2 linked regions of the Solanum lycopersicum genome follow. The protein of the gene in region 2 interacts with the protein of the main gene of each other region in a pairwise test. Links are inferred from orthologs where the notes say so. Each region holds a gene or a part of one and is shown on either strand. Other genes may lie near its edges.

Region 1 (4,218 bases), on a different chromosome or scaffold from region 2:
TAATGTTTTGATTGTTTGAAAATTCAGAACTTAGGTATGTTCGCTAAATCCTATTAATTTATCATGATTAAGTCATAAATTTAGGTGAAAAGGTATAGTAACTATAATTTAATGATATATTAGTGTATCCAAAGGGTAAAATAATTTTAGCAACACTAAATGTTTACACTCATTCAATATATACATGATATATATTTGTACATATGTTTTTTTAACATTTAATCATTATTAATTAACAAGCATGCTCATCTTATTAATAAACATGAACTTTAATTCAAAAATTTTACTGCACATTTATCTACATTGGTAAATTCCTCTAAACATATTAGAATAATATATATCTAATATATATCATGCACCTGATCTTAAAAGAGGATTCAGAATCATCAGTAAGACAAAATAATTTATATTCTTTTGTTTTTAGTCCATAAAAAATCATTTATATTCGAATAATTGTTTTAGCAAATTGCTGCATTATTGTTAAAAATAAAGAGGTAATGTCTTAATCACTTTAATCTGGAAACTTTTCCTTCATATTTTTGTCAAATTAACATCGAGTTGAAACATCTTTTTTGAAATTTACCTTAATTATATTAGCACTTATTCTTGCCTAGTCCTACAGAATATTTAGCATGATTTTTTGATACATAAGCTAAGCTTCTTTAATTTCACTAAATATAAATTTTTTATTTTTTATTCAGTCTGTAAACTAAATCTGAATTTGCATCGAAAAACCTCTTCCAACAAAGAAAATTTTATGTTTAGAGTTCAAATTCGAAATCTTTAGTTAAAAAATAAAAATTGACCCAACTCTTGTTGAGATTTTTGTAGCTGTTATTGAGATAACCTGTCAATGGCATAAAATCAATCACACATATGAGATAAAGAAAAAGATGAACGCAATATTTAGGTTTGACAAATATGCCTATGTTTTAATGTGAAAAAATTAAAAAATCTATCAGGTTCGATATGTGAATACACAATCAGAAAAAATCTTACTAGAAAGATTTTCTTACTTAAATAGATATTACACACTAGAAACGACACAAGCAATACCGCCCAAGATGATGTCCATAATGATATTAATTAAAGTTTATTTGTTTTAAATTTGCCATCAAATTCATAATTCATCTTAATTACGATTAACCATTATATATATCAAAAAAAATCTTATACAAATACAAAAAATAAGTAAATTAGCTACATCTGAACAACAAAATGTCATCAGAAAACTCACACAACATAATTGATGATTAGCCACAAAATTAAATATATCATAGTCATTAATCTTTGTTTGACTTCAAATGCATTACATAAATACTGTAATTTCAGTGAAGATAATATTATAATTTTCCACAAACGTACATTTTAATCTGATCACAATTAAATGTATCATATAGTCTCACCTAAAATGTGACATGTTGAATTATATTTGTTATGTACCAGGATCAAGTATATCACATTTTGTTACTTTCTTTGTCTAATACGAGAGTTCTTTTTCTGATCTGATTAGTTAAAATATTATTTCATCTTCTATCATATATTAAAACCAAATCCTAAATATTCTAAGTCAAATATTTGACCATTTCTGATAAATATTCCAATATAAGTCAAATATTATTAGTGGAATATATAGTTCAATTCCGGCCCCAAAGCTTTTTCAAATTGGAAATTCAATATTTGCATCCAATTGGTCAAACACTCTATTTATATAGTTGTCACAAAGATTATTTTTTCATAACAAAAAATAAAATAAAATTTGGGAATCAAAGTAACCCATTAAGGTATGAACAAAAGAAAAAAATTAAAGATAGACGATCATAAAAAAATATAACAGAATATTTACATGTTCTTTCACCAGTAAGCCTTATGAATAAGGATCGAAACTTCTTCTAGAGAGTATAGTTCCTGTCTTAGTGAGTCATACGCAACGTAAATCGACATGAACATTTTCCAATTGAATATGTATTGAATACAACAAAAAAACAAGTACTATTTCTAATTAGTATCAAACAAGGTGAGGTTTGTTTATATCAACTCTTCGTTGACCATATTATTCCCTTTAAATTCATGCTCTTAAGGCAAACATTATACAAAATAAGTTCTTAATAACAAATATGTTTATAAAAGGAAATTAAAAACGACAACGATGATGAATAAGAAGAAAACGAAGACGAGGAGAAACTCGAAGCTTTTTTCCTATATACTCTATATAGGAATTCATCGCTATTCCTTTCCTCCAATAATATAAAGGTTCATCTGACACACGAGAAATATTAAACTTAAAAATTTAAAAATTACAAAACTTAACCTCACTTTCTTATGATCTTTTTTGGGTCTTCTGCTCCAAGAAGTTCCTCTAAAACACTATCATCAAGATACTCAAACTCAATAATCTCTTTGTCTTGATGACCAATTGATGAAATTCCCCTCTCTAAACTTCTACTTGGAATATTAACATTTAATGATGTACGATAATTATAATAATGTGGATCATTAAGCTTAGAGTAGTACTCATTTGGAAAATTCAAAGTTGCAAGATGTCCCCTTAGGTTAAATGCTGCCTTATCATAGGCCCTAGCCGCGTCCTCGGCCGTATCAAACGTCCCTAGCCATTGACGAGCCCCTTGTCTCGTTGGGTCACGTATCTCCGCTGCAAATTTACCCCACGTACGTTTACGAACGCCTCGATATTTGATCAAATCATTACTATCCTTGCTATTTTCTTTCTCTAATTGTATCACTTTTTTTCCTTTAGAAGAAGATGAAGAAGAACTACTATCCATGTTGATTATTATATGTGAGAGATTTTTTTTTGGTGGCACACACCACATTGACATATTAATTTTGGACATGCCAATGTCTACTTATATAGAGCTAGCTAAAGAGATTGTGACTCATAAGATTGTTGAAATCAATGAATCTTTATTTATTTTTTTTGTCTTACTACACTATGTAAATAATCACATTTTTATGCCATCACGCCACATGTGACTAATCACGTGTTTACACCATCAAATCACATTTACATGTTATAACAAGAAATTATTAGGATTTTTTTTTATACTTAAAAGTGTATGTATATAATTTAAATTGTAAACTTATGTTGTGTTGTTTTATAATGGGTATCTAGAAAAAAAGAACTTTCTTTGCATGGAAGTCTCTTAAAAAATGTCAATAAAATTCGATAATTATTCTACCAAATCTAGTATACTACTATGCTTATATATATTCAAAGAAAAAAAGATAGAGATAAATAGTTGAAGCTACTTTTCACTGCTAAAACTTTATATCTATACAGTGTTTTAGGTTGGAACTTTTTCTTGGAGATAGATTTTGTTGATCAACATGATAGTGAGGTTGCAAGAATATTGTAAGGTGGTACTATAATATAATATAATTAGCCAAACACATATCTAATATGTAATGTTCAAGAATATATATATTATAATTAGTATCAAATGGTCGGGTTGAACTGAATTTGGACGTTAAAATAGATCAAACTAATATATTAGCGAGTTATAGTGTCTCACTCAAAAGTAGCTTGGGCTGAAATGATCTACAAACGTATCATTACAAATTTCCTCAATTCTTATTAGTTATTAAGTTTTAATTTTATATATATATATATATATATATATATATATATATATATATATATATATATATATATATATATATATATATATATATATATATATATATATATTCTTATGAATTATTTGGACAGTATATCAACTCAATATTTTATGAGCTGAAATGAATTAGGATTGAACAATTAACCTAATAAATGAGTAGATTATTAAATCATTTAAATTTAAACGAGTTCAACAAATTATCGTATTTTACAGACTGATTCTCCCACCTTATCAAGAAATTGGATAAGATTCTTATGATCTCCTTGGATCTTACTTTAAGAAGATTTGTCTCCTCAGCTAAAACTTATTAGTTTCATAAGATAAAGGGAATATAATATAATTAAGGGATAATTATAATTTTCAAGAAAATGTACTAGAGTGACCATATTTATGTATTGGTTTGAGTGAGTTTGGGATTGATTATATGTATTTTCAATGTTTATTTTTTGAAGTGTATGATTTTGGACTTCTAATCCCTTTTAAGGTTATCGGTTTTAAATTAATAATTTACACTCTTTTGTTGTAATTTGTTTGGCTTGATAATGAGAACGAGAGTCAAATAAATTAATATTTATCTGAT
Region 2 (5,746 bases):
AATAAATCAAGCTACTTACTATTTATACACGATATAGAATATTCCCAGGATTCTGACACTCCTCAAGTTGGTGCATGCAAATTATATGTACCAAGCTGCTTAGATATATAACTTGTTCTAGGATTGGCTAGGGACTTGGTGAGTATATATGAAGCTGATCACTTATAGCAGGAACCTTCTGAGAGTAAGTACCTTTTCTCTAACAAAATGAGAATCAATCTGTATGTGTTTGGTCCTCTTGTGAAACACTAGATTCAATACAATGTGAACTGCAACTTCATTATTGCACACAAATTCCATCCCTTTTGTGTTTCCGATTTTCAACTCCTTCAGTAGTTGCTTGATCCATATAAGTTAATTTGTTGCCACTGCGATAGCCCGATATTATTGTGTACACTAGATATACGAACCACATTTTTTTAATTACTTTCCCAAGACACCAAATGTCCACAACTGGAACACAATATCCAAAAGTAGATAGTCTGTCAGAGGGTAAAGAGAGATGCCATCTATTTAATCACATACATTAACAACGATGTAAGGAGACACCATGCCATTCTCTTGACCAATGAAGGAGAGATCAAGTTCTCAAGTTGAAAGCTGCAGTTTTCAGTCTTATGAAGTAACAATATGATTTACTGAATAGCTATTTGAGGTAAATGTAGCTGTTTTCACTAATTGCTGTTTCAGACATTGAAATAGGTACCTTGTGGTATTAAATCACGTGGAAGTTGGCATTTGTCTGTGAATTATGTTTAGGCCTGTCATCGACTGGAGTAGATGAAACACAGTTTTTTTTCCCTTTCATGTGGATTTAAAAATGAGGCTTATTCTAGTGCATCAATGTTGAACTCAGTGTTTTGGGAAGCGAGAAGCGGAAAAAAGCGACGAGGGCTTGCTTCACAGAAGTGAGAAGCGGAAAAAAGCGACGAGGGCTTGTTTCGCAGAAGCGAGAAGCGTGATGCAAAGCGCGCTCTTTTTTTAAAAAAAGTGACATTTAGTATAAAAATAAAAAAAATATTAAATAACTAAATAGAGGTAATATAGTCTTAGATTGAAAGAAATTACATAAGATTGAAGAAATTACATAGGCAAAAATACTCATAAGTCATAACATATAAAGCAAAAAATCAAAAACGTAATTAAATCACAAAGATTCAAACTCCTATTCTTCAATAAGACTGCTAGACTGATCACAAAATTTAAAAAAAAAAAAAGCAAAAGAATTGAAAAGAAAAAACAGAGGAGGCAACAGTCAGTAATTAGAAACAGAGGAGGCAGCAGAGATGAAGAAAAGAAGAGAAGAAGAAAAAAAAACTAGAGTAGTCGAAACTCAGAGAGATGAAGAGATGAAGTACAGACGAAGATTGTATATTTCAGGAGAAAAGAAACTCATAGAGATGAACTAATAAACGTTAGCTAAAAAAGAGATGAACAAAAAGATACCTGCGGTCGAGGTTGAAGAGAGAGGCAGCCTCAGTCGAGATTGTCAGGAGAGAAAGAAGGGAAAGTATTGTGAAAGAAGAGTCGCGAGGAGAGAAAGAAGGGAAAGAGTCGTGAAAGAAGAGTCGTGAGGAGAGAGAAGGTTATTTTCAGATTATTTTTTTAAAAAAAACCTAATTGTCGCTTTTTTTTTTTATAAAAAGCGCGCTTTATTCCGCTTTTGCCTTAGGGTCGCTTCTCGCTTCTTCATCTGAAGCGAGAACTTTTTTCAGATCGCCTCGCCTCAAGATAAAAAAGCGCACAAGGGTCGCCTCGCTTTGAAGCGCGCTTTTCTGCGCTTTTCACAACACTGGTTGAACTGTTTTGAGTTTTGACACATCAGGTAGCTGCAGATTAGAGTTTCACGTGGGTGTTTTGCATTGTCTACAGAATTTGCGAGTCTACTGCAAATGTTAGTTGAACTCAAGTGACTACACAAGTTAACTACTTTTTCCCTTCCTGTTTGGTTGATGGGTGAATTTGTTTTAGTGAACATGTGATAACCTTGCTGAAGATCTTACCAAGTACAGCAGTCTTGTTTTTGCATCATTGTGAGAAATGATGATTCAGATGACATTCCTATGGCCACTTAATCTCTTTTTTATTTGGGGAAAAAAAATATGGCATTTGTATATGTTGGTTATTCCGCATCTTTAAGCAAAACATAAAGATTTAACTGCTTAAGACATCTATCTCTGCAACTTCAAATTTATTAAAGATCCACTATGAGAACTGAATTTATTTTACAATTGAAATCTGCATCAGAACTAACATGCATCTCAACAATTTTTTTGGTGAAATTGTTTTGTTATTCTAAAGAAGACCTAGCTACACGGGTGGCTTGCATGTTCTTTTCTAACCCGTCTGTTGACAATAATGCATTGAGCAATCTCACTCCCCAGTTTCCTCTTCTTGATTTATTTATTTACTTTCTCTGTGTATATCTGGAGAGAGGCAGGCTATATTTAGTAATAGAGCTCTTAGATTTACATCAATCTTGTTCTGTTATTTGTTAATTGTTCCAGAAACAGCTTTCTCTTTCTTTAACTGGTTCAATGAACTAAGCTTGTGGTCTTCCACAAATTGTCCAGTGTGCGGTAATACAACTCCCATCGCAGACACTGCTTCTGTCTGTTTCTGATAAAGCCTGCCGCTTGATTGGAATGCTTTTTCCTGGGGTAAGAAATGTTATGTACTCTTAGCATTATTTCATTGATGATCAATTTGACAATTTTTTTAGGAATGGTTTTACTGTGCATGAGCCTTCGGTGTAATGCTATTTTTGTGTCTTCAGGATATGGTGGTGTTTAAGCCACAGATACCAAGTCAACAGCAACAACAGCAGCAACAGCAGCAGCTGCAAGCACAACATCCACAGTTGCAGCAACAGCAGCAACAGCAGCAGCAGCATCTTACGCAACTACAACAGCAACCCCTTCAACAGCTGCAACAACAGCAACAGCAGCAACCTCTCATGCAACTGCAGCAACAACAGCAGATTCCGTTGCAACAATCACAGGTTCCCCAAATGCAGCAACAACAGATTCACCAAATGCAGCAGCAGCAGCAGATCCCGCAAATGCAGCAGCAGCAGCAGATTCCGCAAATGCAGCAGCAACAGCAGCAGCAACCAATGGTTGGAACAGGGATGAACCAAACCTACATGCAAGGTCCTGCAAGGTCACAGCTAATGTCTCAGAGTCAAGGTTCATCACAAGGACTGCCAATCATACCAGGAGGCGGGTTTATGAATTGAAAATGTCATAGAACTAGACAACCATTGTACAAATGTGAGACCAGGCAGTTGATTCCAAAAGTGTAGCCATGCATTTGGTGCATATCTTAACAATGGAATTTCGAAGTAATCAAATTCATTATAGACTCTAGCATAGAAATTACTTGTGCCCTTCAAATCAGGTTGGGGCGGCTGTAAAGGCAAAATAAAAGGGGAAGAGGGAGGAATTTTCTGGGCGTGGGCGTGAGAACATGACTGCATATTTGGTCACCAATCTATTTTCTTTTGATCTCAACATCAGTATTCTTTTTGGTTTTTTGTTCAACTATAGTTATTCACGTCATAGGTTCAACATTTCACTAGATTTCACCATCATATATGACTTACTAAAATGTGTTTCCCTTACATTATGCTTGCTAGGACTGAGTAACTTTTGCTGTGTAGGGACGCCTTGTACCATTCTTTTCTTCTTCATTTGCTAGCGCAAATTTCTCTAAACTCGACTATTGTTCTCAAATTCATTTTAGATTTTAACTCAAGATAACTCTATAACTCAATGCAAAGATCTCAGAAACTCTTCAATTCAACCCAATTAAAGAGAGACATTCAAATTCAAGAATACATAACAAGAATATCAACTTTCAAAAACTTTTAAAACGAATTTCACAGAATTAAACATGTTTGGCGCGTGGGTGAACGGACCCAATGCTTTGAAAGACTCACTTATCTTGTAGGATCAATTCTTTGGCAAAATCTACAGTCAATCGTTCTTGGCGAATCTTGTTTTTCCTATTCTCATTTTTCTTGTGATCTTTCTCGAAAAGCCTAACTCTATTTTTCAGAGTATGAAAGAAGTGAGAATATTTTCTTAGTGTCGCGGCCTCGTAATTGTAGATATGGTGCGCTTCACACCTGCTACCAACACTCCATTGACATGACCGACACTCAAAAATAATTGCTGGCCTCAAGTGAACCATTGTCCTGGCTTACTTACTCAGATAAAGACTCTATATATATTTATAATGATCAATAACACTATACTCGCTTGAATAATAAAATACTAAGAACGCTTAAAAATTCAAACATTCAACTTGGCCAAAATGGCAACTCAAGTCTTCACATATGGAATGATAGTGTAAAGACTATTGAACTGCTAACTATCTATAAAGCCTCTAAAACAAATAGGGATATTGGAACAGAACCGCCGATCATCCTAACAAATAAAAATTATAAAGTAATGAAAAAAGAGACCTTTAGAAGCAAGGAGGCTCACCAATTGACTTTGAGTGCTGAACCTAATCAACAAAGCGTTGGATGTTAATCTTGGTTACCTATGTCTGCATCATAATATGATGTAGGCTAACTGACATCAATACATTGAATGTATGAGTATGTGAGTTGGAATTCTAAACGATACATAAGCTTGAAAAGGATTCCAAAAGAAACACTTACATCGACTCTTCTCAACTCATGAATAACTTAACTCAAAATATAGCCTTGAAACACATGCAATATATGATGATATTTATAAAACAATAAAAGCAACTTAGTTTGTTAAAGACAATGCAATAAAAAACTCAACTTTACTCATAAAATAAAGTAATATAGTTTCTATGGGATATTTTCTAACAGATTACCATCACTATGAGCCTAAGGGGTGATACAACTTATTGCCCATACTGCCACAATTGTCTTATACTTTTCCGTCATATAGAACACTTAACTTAGTGGATGCACTAGCTTATGATTCTTTACTACCCATGATGGCTACATGGTTTATCGAGACTTGAGTTGCTATGAACTCGCATCCCCATATCGATGTTCAATACTACTTCCAATAGATTCATAGCTCATGTATTTGTAAAAACAAAACTCTTTCTTTGGTTTGAGATAATTACTAAAATCTTAGCTTAAAATCTCTCTTGGAATCAGTGTTCCCTTTCTTTCTCAAATGTGAAAACATTTTAAACTTCTCGGGTATACTTAGTTTCCATATACTTCTTTTGAGAAATGAACTTCAAAACTTTTTAGAACTTAAGTCTTAAAACAAAGTAACAACGTTTGTAAAAGATTTTTGAAAACTTTATTAACTTTTCTTGACTTGCTTCTTAACTTCTAAACTTTACTCTTAACTCTCCTTGAATTGAATTATGAATTCAAGGATTATGATTTGTGATAGGAAATATGTCATGATGTTAGGAGTGTTTTAAGATAGTTAAACATGAGAAAGTCACGAAATCACTATCTTAGAAAAAGTCTGCAATGCGGATATATTTATAAATAAATGATCGCAAAACTAAATTTAGAGATAGAGGAGCCCGCGTCCAAGCCGTGACGGGGAGCTACTTTTTGCTCACTGGACCTCGTACATGTTCCTTGTCCAACTTTTTTCTTCTTCGTTTTCCAGCCCAAATTTGCCTAAACTCGACTATTATTCTCAAATTCATTTTACAACCAATACCTAGCAAATTTACTCAAGAACCTAACTCAAAACAACTCTAAAACTCAACGCAAAAATCTCAGTTACTC

The links. The genes of interacting proteins can lie anywhere in the genome.
Region 1: the proteins of mediator of RNA polymerase II transcription subunit 25 (region 2) and ethylene-responsive transcription factor ERF098-like interact in a two-hybrid assay, tested with the Arabidopsis thaliana proteins (2 studies listed by BioGRID). The link is inferred for Solanum lycopersicum from reciprocal best matches to the Arabidopsis thaliana genes PFT1 and TDR1.

Annotation. Positions count from the first base shown.
Region 1 is NC_090802.1:1,254,920-1,259,137, forward strand, and holds ethylene-responsive transcription factor ERF098-like, read right to left. Parts: upstream 3,026-4,218; 5' UTR 2,856-3,025; coding exon 2,313-2,855; 3' UTR 2,024-2,312; downstream 1-2,023.
Region 2 is NC_090811.1:29,961,370-29,967,115, reverse strand, and holds the end of mediator of RNA polymerase II transcription subunit 25, read left to right. Parts: intron 1-2,573; coding exon 2,574-2,660; intron 2,661-2,776; coding exon 2,777-3,238; 3' UTR 3,239-3,622; downstream 3,623-5,746. UniProt on the Arabidopsis thaliana protein: Component of the Mediator complex, a coactivator involved in the regulated transcription of nearly all RNA polymerase II-dependent genes.